Arabidopsis thaliana: one gene and its partners. The protein of the gene in region 2 interacts with the protein of the main gene of each other region in a biochemical or structural test. Each region holds a gene or a part of one and is shown on either strand. Other genes may lie near its edges.

Region 1 (4,915 bases), on a different chromosome or scaffold from region 2:
TATTAAATGTTGCTTTTAAATGTATTGTTCTTTGGGATTTACAATTTTCAATAACTCTAAACCAATTATATTCAATAATTTGTATTGAAGTTTACAATTTCTCAATTATAACTAATAACTATTGCATTGAAAACCTAAAAAATCAATCTTTTAGAAACAATTTTTTTTTCTAAAAAATCAAACAAAAAGGAACATAGGGAGTACTATTCTATTTTTCTATGATGATATGTATAGAATTTGGTATCACTATTCATTTTTTAAGAAATTCGTATCCGATTTTTAAAATTCAAATCATATTAGATACACAAAAAAAATCTGTTTTTTTAATAGTATTATTAATTTAACCAATTAATATTGTTAACATAATATAGTAAACAATATTAAAAAGGGTGAACATATTTTAATCATATTTCTCTTTTCTCTTCTCAACATAACTTAAACTTTTATTGTTCCTTAAAAGACCACGTCAGCATAATTCACTACACTTCTGTTTTCTTCACGCGCCTTAAACATGAATGAAAGAGTTGGGTGAAGGAGTGTGTGGTGAAAGAGTGTGTTGTCATTACACACACCTCATGTGTTACTCTCTGAATTCGGCAACTTATGGTGCTAGATATTTAATTTCTTTTCAGGAATTGGTTATTTAGCTAATTCACCTTTGAAATAAATACACTTATAAAATAAAGTATTTTTAAAACACACTAGTCTTCATATTGGAACTGAAAAAAATAGCACACTTCCTTAGATCATTATTTATAAGATTACTAATATATTCTGAAATTGTTTTGGTAGTACTAAAAAGAACGAAAAATATGAAGTGACACATTATCCAATCTTCCCTTATAATGAATTGAAAACATGTTTGGCGGCTTTTTAAAGGTAGGATAAAAACTAGAGAAAATAACATCTATACTTTTATTAGTTTATACTTTATAGTATGAGAGTATCTAAACTATAAAAAATTATTTCGTGTGGCTAGCAAGTGGGCAATGGCAAAGCTATACAAAATACAAGAGTTGGCCTGAAAATCAGTAGTAAAACTCATCAACTCAAAGATAATGTAACAAAAACAAGCCTTAACTTACTTAGTAACAAACAGTCACATTTACAAAGTGGTAAAGATACTGAGAGCCACTTTTCAAACTCTGTTACTACTACTCACTCACTGCAACTAAATCAAACCAGACGAGATCAAAGCACCGGGCTTTTTATCGATCTGTTCCCGCGTTTGTGGACTCGCTATATATAACATAACATCAAAGCTGCATTTTAGAAAGCAAAAAAAAAAAAAACTGGAAAAAGCTTACTCTTAATGATCATTGATGTTGATTTAGGCATTTGAGATTTCAGCTTCAGGGTGGTAATAAAGCATCTCATTCCACATCATCTCTCTTATCACTGGTTCCTCCATGTTTTCATCTATGTCCAGAGAGATTGGGACATGTGCAGGCGGATTGGATCCAGGATCAAACAACCCCGCCATATACGGGTGTAAGAGCGCATCGGTTACAGAGATTCTCTTGGTTGGATCAAACACAAGCATCCTCTGTAACAAATCTATAGCTAGAGGATTGGCTTGTGGATAAAGATTGGAGAGATGAGTTCCTCTTGAGTACGGAAGAGACTTTATAAACCTTCGAGCTTTCGGGTTGTCTATGAACCGAATATCAGATTCTTGTTGGCTACCAACAACGTTGATGATTAGCTTAAGCTGATTCAAGCATTCTGTTCCTGGAAAAATCGGTTTCCTACCAAGAATCTCCGCGAATATGCAACCAACCGACCATACATCAATGGAGGTTCCATAGTTATCACAACAAAGAAGAAGCTCAGGTGCTCTGTACCAACGTGTAACCACATACTCAGTCATGAACTGTTCATTACCTTGGCTCGTTCTCGCCAACCCGAAATCACAAATCTTGAGATCGCAGTTCGCATTAACTAAGAGGTTCCCGGGCTTCAAATCCCGGTGAAGTATGTTTGCAGAATGAAGATACTTCAACCCTCTAAGCAACTAAACACAACAACAAGAACAAGACTTATTTCAATAACTAAACATACAAAACTCGAAACATAGAGTTACCGAGGAAGGACTTAAAGTTACCTGAAACAAGAAGTACTTGCAGTGATCATCAGAAAGAGACTGAGAGGATTTAATAATCTGATGAAGATCAGTATCCATTAGCTCATAAACCAAATAAACATCCTTGAAACTGGATCTATTAGCAGGCAACATAACATCTTTAAGCGCGATCACATTCTCATGCCTCACATGCCTAAGAAGTTTAAGTTCCCTCAACGTTCTCAAAGCATCAACACGATTCTCAAACACATTGTGAATCTTTTTAATAGCAACTCTCTCATTAGTCTCACGATTGATAGAAGAACAAACCACACCATAAGCTCCTCTTCCAATGGGTTTAATCGGAACATACTTTGTATCGATTTCGAACAATGTTTGCCACATGGAGTAGTAATGTTTCCCTTGTTGCTTAATCCCATTTGGTGGCTCAACTAACATCGCCATTTTCTCTCTGCAAAAACCAAAACTTTCAGTATTTTTCCCCTAAATTGGTAAGATTTTGGAAAAGGGTTTATAGAGAATTTTCGATTTATGAATCATTGAAGCTTTTTTCTCCTTTACGTCTCCAAAAAGTGAAATTCAACTAAGAAAAATTCTCTTTTTAATATCGTTTCCTTTACTTAGCTATCAATCTTACTACTCCATAAGAAAAAAGCAAACTTTGGTTATAAAAATTCTCTTTTTAATATGATAACTCTTGATTAATCATAATCAAAACTCAAAAATTAAGAGTTAAAACAAGCTAAATGAATAAAGAGAAGAAACAGAACAAGAGATCGAACATACCCAATAACTGAATTTACAGAACCCGAGTCGTTGTTGTTGTTGTTAATGATCAGAGATGAAAGAAGAGAAGGGTATGATTGGATCTGAATTGAGATTGCTTCTTCATAGCTAAAACAAGAAGAGATAAGAGAGAGAAGAGTTAGGAAGTGGTGAGACCCATACGGGGAATGGAATGTTAGGGGAAGAGGAAGAAGAAGAAGAAGAAAGGAAGCAAAATACGTTGGTTGATGAAGAAGCTTTGGTTACTTCTTTTCGTTTTTTAGGAAAAAAACAAATTACAAAGTCTTCTAATTACGAAAACGACATTCTTTTTAGATTAGATATTTTTTGTGTAACAAAACTTCAGTTACAAACTATCTTTAATTAAAAAATCTCTAAAGTTTAATGGACTCTTCATGTTTTTTTTTTGCATACAAATCAGGATTGTTATTACTATATTTGGTAATTAGAAAAAAATAATGCATAGGAATTTTTGTAATTAATTAAAAAGATTGAGTAAGATATTTATTAAGTAGAATTTGTCTTGGTATAATATACGTACACGAATACAGAAATTGAGGATTTAAATGGATCAAGTAACCGGCTAAGCACGTGGGTGGACTGAAAAAGTGACACGTGGTAAACGTAGATTGGGAGCAACTTCTTGTTGTTGTCCGAACCGAAGTTTCCACTGGGTGTAGTTAAACCTAACTTAAAAGCCTCAAAAAGTGGTCAACTACAAAACCACTCTTGGTTTGAAGACCTTCTGTCTCTTTCGGAGAGGTTTGAGGATTAGATTAAAAAAAGGATAAGTGTGGCTGATGGATTTAACATCAGATGATGACATAACTAATTTGAGTGGCAAATGGTTGAGTAAACCTATCAGTTGACGAACGCAGATTATCAATCAACTTTGAGTTTCTCCATAGATCTTCGAAGATTCTGTCTCTCCAAACCATCAAGCCCCAATTCATCTTCAACCCTAGTAATTTAGTTTATATAAAGTGTACTTGAATTTTATACGTTGATGTTAAAAATGTTTGCACACTAATCTTTTGTACAAAACTACTTTACAAAATATATTTCTTATAAATTCATTGTTTTCTTTTGTACAAATCAAACATGATCTCGCATATGATGCGGATAAGTGGTAACATCTAAGGATGATATATATATACAGAGACATAACAAAATTCTTTCTTTGGAGATTCTCTTAATTTTAATGTGACTGTAAGATTTAAGTTAATGACATGAGTGCATTGGCCACCTCTAACTCCACTAGAGGCTTCTTCTTCCTCATGTTCCTCACTTACCAAGTGAACTGCACATGGAGATAAAAAGTAAAACAGAACACCATTTTAAACACCAAAACAAAAATTAGTTAAGTAGGCATTGATTTGAAAGCGGACCAGCTTCTTCTTCTTCTTCTTTCTCTCAACGTATGCCACAAGGTCCTCTTGTCGGGTAAGAGAATCATCAAGAGCCTGTGAAGATACAACAACTCTTTAGTGTGAGATAGTGAAAGCTGAGAACAAATCAGTAATATATATGAAAGTTTTTTTTGTTTTGTGTTACCTTCTTGGTTGCAGCAAGTTCTTGTTCCAAGAAATCGGCTCGGCTAATGGCAGCATTAAGCATCTCTTCCTTTTCAGGAGGCATAGTTGCTGGCTGTGCACTCAAGTTTGTGACTTTCTGCTCAAGCTCAGCCATTCGTTTCATGACCGCCATGAAATCTTCCCCTGAGATGGTTGTTGTTGCCATTTTCTTCCCATGCATCGAGCTCTTGTTCATCGAGTTTTCGTCGCAGTAAACCGGGCTAGAGTATATAGTTGACTCGGTTAGCTTCCTTGGAACGTTTTTAGTCACTCTAATCATGGTGACTACACCCATTACAAAAGCCATGACTCCAGTGAAAATAGGAGACCTTCCACTTTCATTTGTAGCTTTGCAAGCTTCTTGAATGGCGTAAACATCCCCTGTTCAAAAACAGAGAAGTACTTAAATTCAAGTTCTTTTAAAAAGGAGTAGTATTTGTCTCTTTAGTAGTGTAATTTGCACATGATCTCT
Region 2 (6,094 bases):
GAACAAGATCACAAGAAAGCTGACTGATATCACGACCACCTGATCTGCAAATGAAGCCATAGTCAGAAACTTTACACAAAAAATAGTCACTAATCACTCATCAAGATAAGATTATGTTTTTTGAAAGCTTTGTACAATCATTAGCCCCTATTCAGGGGGCAGAAGAGTTTACCCTCTTCTTTGTTGTATCTATAATCTAATTGAAGTCAAGGGACCCAGGATGCAACCATTAAAGACCCATAAAAAGTTTTCTGGTCCAAGGAATACATATATCCAAGGAACGATTACAAGTTTTGAAAGCCAGACGAAATCATGCTCGTGACCATACATAGGCGCTAATAAACGTCAACTAGAATTAGTTACCTTGTTCTATAACACCAACTCCAACCTTCAGACCACCGATAGCAGACATTACTGTGTCCAAAAAAGAGGGTAAAATTTAGCTGCAGATTATTCATGCAACGATAATGCTCACATGCTTTTTCTCTATACTTGATATGTGACATAGGAACAAAAAATGTAGCCTGACAGCATATAAGTACCTGACATTGCTGGCGTAACAACAGCATCAGCAATCACCATAGCAGTGCCGGCAAGAACTAAAATCAGAAGAAGCTTTTTCAAGGCCATTGACGCCTCAAGTCTTTCTTTAATTATCAATGATCTTTCAAGTTCTGGAGACGGAACCTTCAAACCAAAGCCTGATATGCGAGCATCTGATGGAAGTTGATTTGGGATAAGGCTAACATTTGCATGCCGGCAGATCAACGAATACAAAGCAAACGTCCCACCTGCAATTCATTTCCAAAACTTAAACCTTTAAACCTTAAATGAACTTCAATCTACACCATATAAAGAGGAAGAGATATACCTTCGCCATCGTCATTGGCCCAAAGAACAAAATGTACATACTTTACAAGAGGAATCAATATTAAAGTGTATATAACCAATGACAAGGCTCCAATAATATCTTCTTTGTCGTTAATTGGAGATCTTCTGAACATGACAGTGAAGGTATACAATGGGCTAGTTCCAATATCACCAAATACAACCCCAAGTGTCTGCAAAGCAAGTATGAGTTTCTTTCCTATACCAGTGTCCTGAAAAAACACATTACCAAGTTCAACAACTCAATCAGATCGAAAAGTAAACAACATGAAGAAGAAGAAGAACATTCACACACAAATGCTAACCTCGATTTCGTTTTTCTGAGTTCCAGGAATCTCAAGAGCATCTACATCGAAAGAGTCAACGGCAGGGCTAGTGCGAATCAAACGCTGCTCCACATTGTCATCCTCCTCATCGGAATCCATTTCCGGGTGATTATGCTCATCATATCCATCATCGTCGTAATCTTCATTAACCTCATAATCATCTTTCTCATCGAACACCCATCGCGACAATGACGTCGTTGAATCGTCTCCGCCAAACTCCTCATCAATCTCAGACCCATCGCCTCCACTGCTTTCTTCTTCCACGTGAAACATCAATCACCGTTGGAAAACACTGAAGATCTCGAGATTGTGATTCAGATTCGTATCTCTGATCCAAGGAAACAGGATTGGAATTGGTGTTTTTGAGAGATTGAGAGATGGAAGAGAGAGATTGATCTACATACACTGGAGAGGACCTGGCACGAATGAGAAAGAAGCTTACACGTGTCCAATCATGATTGGATTCGAGACTCACGGTTTAAGGAAAAACAAACCAGACCAAATTAGGCTTAACCGCTAAAAAACCGGGTTCTCGTTTTGAAAGATTGAGAGAGACGATCTACAAAGGAGGACAGGACCCGGCACGAATGAGAAGAAGCTTACACGTGTCCAATCAGGATTGAACGATTTAATCAAGCTTAACCGTATGTAAACCGGATTTTAGCTGGGTCCACAAGTAGTCAAATATAGATTTTTTAATAGTCAAATAATTTTCATAGGGGCGAAGTTCAAGATGAGTTACTACACTCATCAAAGCTCACAAAAAGAGAAGAGAAGAGACGAGGATCAATCACCATTCTCATGGCTTCAGCTTCTTTCTCTGCGGTTTCTTCGCTCTCGTATCAATTCCGTTCAAAAGAAGCGATCTTTTCATCGAAAGCTTCCTGTTTTAGCTCGACGGCTTTATCAGGAAGGAGAGTGTTTGGATCTATCAAAGCAGCTCAAGTGACAAGCCATGAGAATCCTAGAAGACGAACTCAGAACGTCGAAGGAGATATATTTGTTGGTAAATAAAGTCTGGTTACTTTTTATTGCAAATTGAAAACAAAGAGAGATCATTAACGCCCTCTCTCTGTCTATCTTTCAATGGATTTTTTTGCAGACAATACTTGTATTGATTGTGATACATGTCGTTGGATGGTTCCGGTAAGCTTTTCTTCTCTGAAATCTGTAAAGCTCCTAAATTTTTCTGCTCTTTCCCCTGTCTTGTGGACCCTTTTGGTGGTCCTTTGAAATTGATGAATTGATTTAAGCATTTTGGGTCTATTGGTTGGTAGGGTAAAGTAGTTGGGGGGTTTTCATTTTGGGTATTGGGAAGTTGATGCCTTAGGATTGATCTCGAAGAAGGATATACTAACATTAGAATATAATCTGATTTGATCACAGTCATTATATGAGAACAAGAAGTTAGAATGTTCATGTTATAGTTGTTTGTTAGCAGGCCAATGCAGCTGTGAGAGCAGGATTTTACTTTCCCTTTACATTTTTTTCAGCCAATTCGTAAACAGCTTTTCTCTGATTTATCTTCACAGGATTTATTCACTCGAGTGGACAACATGTCTGCGGTTACAAAGCAACCAACTTGTAAGGAGGAAAGACTGAATGCTCTTCAGGTGCCTTAACTACGTCGATTTTAGTTTTCTTTCTATTTAATATCTGATGACATTTCATTGAGGATGTTTTTGAATCTCCTTGTTTTTTTGTCTTTGATAGCTTTTATTGTTACCTTATAAAACAGATAGACAAATTTTGTGGAAATGTCTGCTAGGATGTCATAGACTGAGAAATTTCTTATGAAGAAAAATATTTTAGTGAGTAAAATTTCTGAGGTTGTCCTGATTACTCATGGTTTCTTGATTCTTTCAGGCCTTACTATCTTGTCCGACGGGCTCTATTCGCACTCAAACTCCACCTGCTGACATAGGGGAAGCTCAAGAGACCTTTCCACTTGTAGTGGACAAAGACACACTTCCTGTACTTTTTAATCCCTTAAGCTTTCATTTTTTTAGGATGGTTATTAACAAGTCAACTAACTCTGATTAGATCATTGTAAGCATACGTAGGTTTTGAATAGATTTAGATACAATGACCTTAAGTTCTTAACTGATTTAGCTCCACTGAGGACTCTTACTACCTTGTTCTTATATGTTGTCTGCTGTCCTTGAGGTTTATAAAGTTTGAGATTTGCATTATGCTCAGGGCGTTTTTCATTGTGGATTTCATTCCAAGAAATCGTATGGAGCAACTTCTTACCTGATCCTTCATCGTGAGGGAAATATACTTGTTGATAGGTATATACCCTTGGGAGGAGGCATCATGAATTCTTATTTTCTTTGTTGTTTAGTATCTTATACATTGTTGATGCAATGTATTTCTTGATATACTTCGTTGTGGCTATTAACTCTACACAACTGATTAAACCAAGGTTTTGCTGTTTGCTGCAGTCCTAGGTACGTGGAGAAACTTGCTGGAAAGATCGAGATGAAGGGTGGTGTTCGCTACATGTTTTTGACACACAGGTAGAATTGATAACACCTAAAGGAGAAAATCCGTGTTTTCTCTTGTAATCTCTGTTAATCAGGATAAGCGATTTCATTGTTCAGGGATGATGTTGCAGATCACAAGAAATGGGCAGACAGATTCAAGTCTACCAGAATTCTGCATTCTGATGATGTATGTCCTTGAATTTTTCACACCTCTCTGCACATTCTTGATAGGTTTTTTCAACATCTAGATTTCGTGAAAAATGAAAAAGCTTGCTTACATAGTTACAAGAACCTTGGGCTGCTTATATGCTCTGTAGAAAATAGAAAAAGATTATGAGGTTGGATAAAAGTAAAAAGTAAACTAGCCACGCAAACAATTTTGTTACTAAACCCATCTCTGATCGACCATTAAGGGAATTTTTTTTTTGTTAGGTTGAACCTTCGACCTCTGATGTGGAGTTAAAGCTGGAAGGAAGTGGACCATGGAGTATCTATGAAGATGTCGAACTTATACACACTCCTGGTCATTCAGAAGTAAGTTTGTCCAACTGCAAGAACATACATAAAAACAAATGTTCAATTTTTGTTAAAAAGAATTCCATCATGATCTTGGGATAAGAGCTTCGTACAATTTGCAGGGATCAGTGTGCATGTTCCATAAGTCCCTCAAGGCATTATTCACTGGCGACCATGTAATAATGACCGAATCTGGATTGAGCATTTTAGAGCAGTACAATCACGGTTCAGGTAAAGACTCATCTGTTGAATGTCTTTGGGTTAATGTTTTTGAATATTCATTCAAGAACGTAGAAAGATTGATCTAAATGTTTTTTTTTTGTGTCTCTGGCAGTGCCTCTCCAGCTCGAGAACGTAGAAAAATTGATCAACCTGGATTTCAATTGGCTAATACCGGGTTAGTGCACTTTGGCTATATATATCTGCTTTACTACTGAAATGGACATTTTGGATGTTGATGGCGGTTTTGTATATCAGGACATGGAAGAAGAGTACATTTCAAAGATGGAGACGAGAAGGCGAAGAATCTGGAAGCACTTGTTCAGAAGCACAGAGAGAAACAACTTGTTTCCTTTAGCAAATCCGGGAAAGCTTAAGATATGTATGCTGATTCTAAACCGGTTAATCAAACTAAACCAGACCGAATGTCTCTACGGCCTGACTGGTCTATGTGTCAGTTAGTTCCCACGCGAGTGATGTATTTATTTCTACGTAACATTGTGAACCTGCTTAAACGCTTACTAGATTGAAACGAAGACCGTGAGTAATAAAGTCTCCTCTTTCCTAGTGCAAGTATGTCAGCTAAAGTGTTGCTGTGTTTTTTTACGATATTTTTCATGTTATTCGGAATGTCTTAAATCACAAAAAATATTCGACTTTTCACAAGCATCGGATGCATAGTTGTTTATTTGATAAGGGTATCTCCCATAGCTAGTTAAAAATGTTATTTAATATATTCGTTTTGGTACCATATGCTACAATAATCATATTATGCAGAGATCATCGAATAACATCACATAAGGTAAGAAAGTTCATGTAAAAAGAAAATGCACTAATAATCATTCACAAACTTAGCAGTAGATTAGCGATCGAAAATTGATGTCACCAAATTTAACAATCTTTAAAATGACATCTTTTAATTAACGACGTTCATTCGGAGACAAAATGAATTTCATCAAAAATGAGTCACTAAACTATTTTTCAACCACTCCACTAAAAAAGTTAAACCTCATTCAAAAACTGCCACGAAACATTCCCACCAACAAAAGATAACAAATAATATAGACTCCCTCGCCTTGTTGCTTCCCACTACAAAAGTAACAAGAAAAATTGTTACAATACTAAGCATAGTATTAACGTTATGCTATATATACAAATCTCTCGTCGGACCAAATATTCGCATTCATAGATTTCATTACAAATTAACGAACTATTCACAGAAAGAAATAAAACGAGATGGGAAGTGGCATGATAAGGACATTGGTTATTCTAGCAATAGCTTTATTCATGATCGGTTCCGACAACGTCCACGTGGCAAAAGCCCAGGTCTGTGGAGCTAACTTGTCGGGACTGATGAACGAATGTCAACGCTACGTCAGCAACGCCGGACCAAATTCTCAGCCGCCGTCTCGGTCTTGTTGTGCTCTAATCCGTCCCATTGACGTACCTTGTGCTTGCCGCTACGTTTCAAGGGATGTTACGAACTATATTGATATGGACAAAGTGGTTTACGTTGCTCGTTCTTGCGGCAAGAAGATTCCCTCCGGTTATAAATGTGGAAGTAAGTATCTTTCTTGCTTTTCTTATTATAGTTTCGTAATTGTTAAGCATATAATAATTTGGATTTGAATCTGTTATAGGTTACACCATTCCGGCGGC
Region 3 (5,168 bases), 9.2 Mb from region 2:
AAAACAAATATTTGTTTGACAAACCAAAATACAATTGCAATCCCGTAAAATATTTATTTTAATTATATATTTAAATTAGCGGTGTACCGCGGGTTTTTTACGGGACGGATTTGGCGGGACGAGTTTGACAAGACGTTATTTAATAACAATTGTAAACTATAAAATAAAAATATTATATAAATAGATTTAATTTGCAAACTTTAATATATACTAATTTAAAAATAAAATTGTTCTCGCAGTATACCGCGGGTTAAAATCTAGTAAACAATACATTCTCCAAACCGAGTTAAAAATGAATGTATTGAGTATTGACTATGTATAAACAGTATTAAATCTTTTAATATTTGAATGTTAGATTCCTAATATGTGGAAATTAGTCTTTATAACTTTCAAAATCTTACGTACTAAAAATGAGGTCATTTAACAGTAGTTTCTTCCATTTGCGACATTGTTATCATACTTATATGATTTGTTTTCTTTCTTACTTTGTTTTGGAAGCAACCAAGCAACCTTCGTAAATGAAATCGTCGAGAAGGTTAAGGCAATGCTTGACAACGTTTCCTCATCACACGTACGTAATCCTATTAAATCAAAAATTATGTAGTTCTAGAATTAGAGAAATTGAAATATTGCCAATGACAAAGAAAAAAAAAAGGTGTGTACAAAAGAACATACTGTATGTTAATTATATATATATAATTATTGTATAAATCTAGTGGCTAATCATTGTAAAATCTCTAGATTACGCCGCAACATCAAGTTTACATAAGTTTTCGGAGTCGAGAGATCCGCAACAAGTTCTCCAGCCTTCTTAGAGCCGCGTTACGAAGGAGTGGGATCAACGTCCTTCTAGATGATGAAAATATCACTCGAATAGAGTCAAGAGACGAAGTTGATAGACTTTTTTGTCGAGTTTCGAGAGTGAAGGATCGAACTAGTGTTCATTACCAAAATTTGCAAGAGCTCGACGTAGTGCTTGAAGAAACTGCTGGAGATGAATAAACACATCGAGTTTTTCCCATTTTCTACGAGTACAATCCAAGTGACATGATACAAGTCTAAACAAAGATAGCTTTTTAATTTAATTTCTTGAGTTACAAGATAACAACATGATATGTAGAAGAAACAGAACACTATCTAAGACATCCTGATAATAAGAATGGACATAACTACTAAAGATATGTCTTGGGTTACAAGGATCCTTATAGAACAATTTCTTGAGTTGCAAGACAGCTTTTTTAACTAGTGAAATAGCTTAAACAACGATCAACATGAGATGAAGGAGAAACAGAGCTTAAACACTACTAATTTGTTTTGCTCAATGTCAGAGTATAAAACTTGCTTTCCCCTTCTTAAATAATGTTTTAAATGCTCGGCAGAGGATTGAACTTCACAGATTCGAGCCACACAAGCTCCTTTATCTCTTCTTCAGTGGAAGACGGATCCTCAAAATGGAAACTGAAATGGTTGGAACAAACAGGCTCGTCGTTAAGGTCGTGAAGAGCTGACAAGTAAGGATAACACAGTGCTTCCTCAACTGCAAAACAAAGAGTATGATCAAGGATTCATCACCCATATGCCAATCTCGCTATGTACAATTTTTCTCATCATACCCGTGATACGTTTTACTGGATCAAACACGAGCATTTTCTCTAGTAGATCGATAGCTGTAGAATTCATACTAGGAAACCTAGCTGAAAAGTTTTGTCTTGGGAACTTAGGTAGCTCCTTAACATATTTTCTCGCGTTCGCGCTTCTGAGAAACTCTAGACTCGCTCCATCAGGTGATCCTATCAACTACTCAACCACATGAAACAACTCATAAACACATTGCAACACACAAATAAAAGTTTCCAACATTTGTACAGATCTTTCTAAAACAGAACATCATACCTCAGTGATAAGTTTAAGCTGATGAACGTAATCCTTCCCCGGGAAAAGCGGTTCCCTTGTCATAATCTCAGCAAATATGCAACCAACAGACCATACATCAATAGCAGATGTATACTCAGAACTATTAAGAAGCAGCTCTGGTGCTCTGTACCATCGTGTTACAACATACTCTGTCATATACTCTGTTTCTGATGTAGTCCTTGCCAAACCAAAGTCAGTAATCTTAAGATCGCAATTCGAATTCAAAAGCAAATTACTCGGCTTAAGGTCACGATGTAAAACATTTGCTGAATGAATATATTTGAGTCCTCGTAGAATCTGATACAAGAAGTACTGCAAAAGAAGAAAAAGTGAATCACTTGTGATTAAATCAACCATAGTATCAAATATAGCAGAGTAAAAACCGTACCTGACAATGATCATCATTCAAAGATTGGTTTGATCGAATAATCTGATGAAGATCAGTATCCATTAACTCAAAAACTATATAAACATCAACGAAATCTTCCTTCTTTGGTGGTCTAATGATATCTTTTATAACAACAACCTGTACAAGTCAAGACCACATTAGCTAGAAACTCTAATCGTTTACCGCGAAAATAGAGTACAAAACTTACGTTCTCGTGTTCTAAATGACGAAGTAGCTTAATCTCTCTCAATGTTCTCTTTGCATCTACTTTATTATCAAAGGCTTTACCTATCTTCTTTATCGCAATCTCTTCGTGTGTCTCCGAATCTACTGCAGCACTATAACAATAAACCAATACTCTCATGAATCATTTTGCTTATACATAAACACAAACACAAACAAATCATCAAATTCATTCAATTTAAACTATGATTTTGAAGACAGAACCTTTCTTAAATCCAAAAAAGATCAAATTTTGCAAGCAACCCTAATTCAAAAACCTATACCAATACTTAGTTCTTTATCTAATTAGGGTTACAAATACTAAGTAAGAAACAAGAATATGAAATACACAAAAGGGTAGAAGTTGTACCAGACAAAACCGTAAGCTCCTCTACCAATAGGTCGAATAGGAGGAACATACTTATTAGAAACTTCAAACAAGTTTCCATAAACATTGTATTGAAAATATCTTCCTCCATGAACAAGAACTCCTTTGATGTTAGTATCACCTAAATCTGTCGCTGATTCAATTTCCTTCGCCATTTTTTTCAAATATCGAGATAATACAGAAGAAACCCAGAAAATCAAACTTTGAATACAAGATTTTTGGAGATGAGATCGATTCGATTCGTCTCTGCAAAATTAAAATAATGATTTTGTTGAATGTTGAAAACTTTGAAAATCTAAGGAGATAGAGAGAGACGCGTCAGAGGACAACGACTCTTTTTCATTAGTTTGAATATTTTGAATAGGTCAAAACGTATCGTCACATGTCCATCAGCCACGTGTACTTTGTAATAAATACAGATGGGTAAACGTTTGGGCCTGGCCCATCTATTTAATATAGAGAGAGGTATGCTATCAGCTCTGGTCTATGTTATGAGGCCCACGTAATATGAAAGTAAGAGACCTTTTCCTTTTCACCTATCAATACACATCTCTCACTAAAGGAATTCTTCGCAACAGATACTGAGATACAATACAAGTTGGAGTTTAATCTCTCCTCTTCTACTTGATGATTCTCATCCAAAACTACATACTTTCATTCTAAGGTATGTATTCCATATAATCAATTCATACTTTGTGGTGCGAGCGTAATGGTAGACGTCATGGTAACTCTTCTGTTCCTTCGGCCAAGCTTGCAAGTATTATCGACAAGAACGTTAGAAACCGCTCCATCAGCACAATTTGGATCTCGGGAAACTCGGTTTATGAAGAGGGCCTCCACTATTGGTTCCACACCCGTATTCCATAGATTCCTTCAAATGTTATAGTCTCTTCGTTTTCAAACTTTCAACTCAAAGTCACATTCATTATACAATTTTTTTTGGTGAATATCATATTATTCACTTAATATATCAGTAACATCTTATATGTACATATAACAGTTGACATATTAAACCAATATCGAATAGAATGTTATCTTTTACTTAATATATTAATTTATACTATTCACCAAATTGTCATTAAAATTACGTTTTGAACTCTGGAATATCGCGAGTTTACCAATTTACTCATAATCTTCAACTTTTCTATATAAAAAAAAGAAAATTAATATGGATCATATTATACGAGGTTTCTTTTGATAACTTAATCTTTTGAGTCAAATTTACGCAGAACCTAAATATAATTAACTTGTGATGCTCAAACTACAACCCTTAAAATACCCTAAATTGTTCAATATTTTCCTCGTAAAATACCCCATATCTAACTCAAATCACTCGCACTTACACATCAAATATGACTAGGCCGACACAATATAATATATATCCAATAATTACATGTTATTTAATTGGTACGACAATCTCCGACAACGATACCATTACCAATACCAATCTCTTTTAGCCATATTCATGCTAAAAGTGTAGTGGCAGATCCAATTCACTTTTATTATTGATCTTCTCCACTGATTGGCTTAATTTGATGTGGCATTCAATTAGATTAATTAGATCTCCAACATTATCCATGCTTTATAACTCATGACTCACGTGACTGTTTTTTTTCCCTCAAGTTTTGTTTCGTTTATCTTCACAATATTTTTAGATATCCTAAATTGAAAACATAATAGACATGATTGTTGAATTATGTAGGTAAATCTCTCAGTTAGAAATACTGGGTTTGAGGCATGTTGGAAGAGATTTCTTTCCCAAAGGATATGAATTTAATCTGGTGTGGATCCCGCCTCTAGAAAATGTAAGGTCTTTGAGTTTGAATTTCCAGATATTCAAAAAAAATAAAAAAACAAAAAGACAACAACTCTAAGCATAATAATTTACTCAAGTTGATATGTGGTGAACTATTCAATGTGAAACGTTTGCGCTCTATTATTGGTATGCTGTATTATTAGTGTGACGGTATGACACAACGGAACTTCCAATATATATGTTGTACAATTCTAAATTGGATTTTACCGGGGGAAAATATCTTGATCAAGTACGAAATATGAGTGGCTTGAGTGTATTGTATATTTGTATGTATATGGATACTAATAAATAATCTTTGTTCCGTGGGAAAAGATTGTGTAATTTTTGGTTCATAGTAACAAGATTAAGAAATTTAAATCGGAAATTAGTAGGTTTAAATTTAACATGTTCTTTTGGTCGCAAAGGTAAGAATTGACGTAAGAGAATTTAAAAAACAAGGA

The links.
Region 1: of the proteins of AT4G33540 (region 2) and MPK7, one has a biochemical effect on the other in vitro, tested with the Arabidopsis thaliana proteins (one large-scale study listed by BioGRID).
Region 3: of the proteins of AT4G33540 (region 2) and MPK5, one has a biochemical effect on the other in vitro, tested with the Arabidopsis thaliana proteins (one large-scale study listed by BioGRID).

The regions. Positions count from the first base shown.
Region 1 is NC_003071.7:7,906,848-7,911,762, forward strand, and holds MPK7 (MAP kinase 7), read right to left. Parts: upstream 3,194-4,915; 5' UTR 2,870-3,193; intron 2,535-2,869; 5' UTR 2,528-2,534; coding exon 2,105-2,527; intron 2,015-2,104; coding exon 1,331-2,014; 3' UTR 927-1,330; downstream 1-926. Other genes in the region: AT2G18180 (Sec14p-like phosphatidylinositol transfer family protein), read right to left, coding at 4,207-4,332, 4,424-4,824. UniProt on the Arabidopsis thaliana protein: MKK3-MPK7 module acts as a positive regulator of PR1 gene expression.
Region 2 is NC_003075.7:16,128,867-16,134,960, forward strand, and holds AT4G33540 (metallo-beta-lactamase family protein), read left to right. Parts: upstream 1-1,726; 5' UTR 1,727-2,015; coding exon 2,016-2,220; intron 2,221-2,316; coding exon 2,317-2,360; intron 2,361-2,506; exon of another isoform or gene 2,507-2,667; intron 2,668-2,746; coding exon 2,747-2,827; intron 2,828-3,080; coding exon 3,081-3,188; intron 3,189-3,413; coding exon 3,414-3,505; intron 3,506-3,658; coding exon 3,659-3,733; intron 3,734-3,817; coding exon 3,818-3,887; intron 3,888-4,132; coding exon 4,133-4,234; intron 4,235-4,338; coding exon 4,339-4,447; intron 4,448-4,550; coding exon 4,551-4,613; intron 4,614-4,693; coding exon 4,694-4,812; 3' UTR 4,813-5,103; downstream 5,104-6,094. Other genes in the region: KUP5 (K+ uptake permease 5), read right to left, coding at 1-44, 364-414, 543-791, 872-1,100, 1,194-1,487; AT4G33550 (Bifunctional inhibitor/lipid-transfer protein/seed storage 2S albumin superfamily protein), read left to right, coding at 5,672-6,064.
Region 3 is NC_003075.7:6,890,042-6,895,209, reverse strand, and holds MPK5 (MAP kinase 5), read right to left. Parts: upstream 3,285-5,168; 5' UTR 3,068-3,284; coding exon 2,895-3,067; intron 2,641-2,894; coding exon 2,511-2,640; intron 2,441-2,510; coding exon 2,303-2,440; intron 2,227-2,302; coding exon 1,894-2,226; intron 1,798-1,893; coding exon 1,614-1,797; intron 1,538-1,613; coding exon 1,365-1,537; 3' UTR 1,003-1,364; downstream 1-1,002. Other genes in the region: AT4G11340 (Disease resistance protein (TIR-NBS-LRR class) family), read left to right, coding at 499-571, 742-1,002.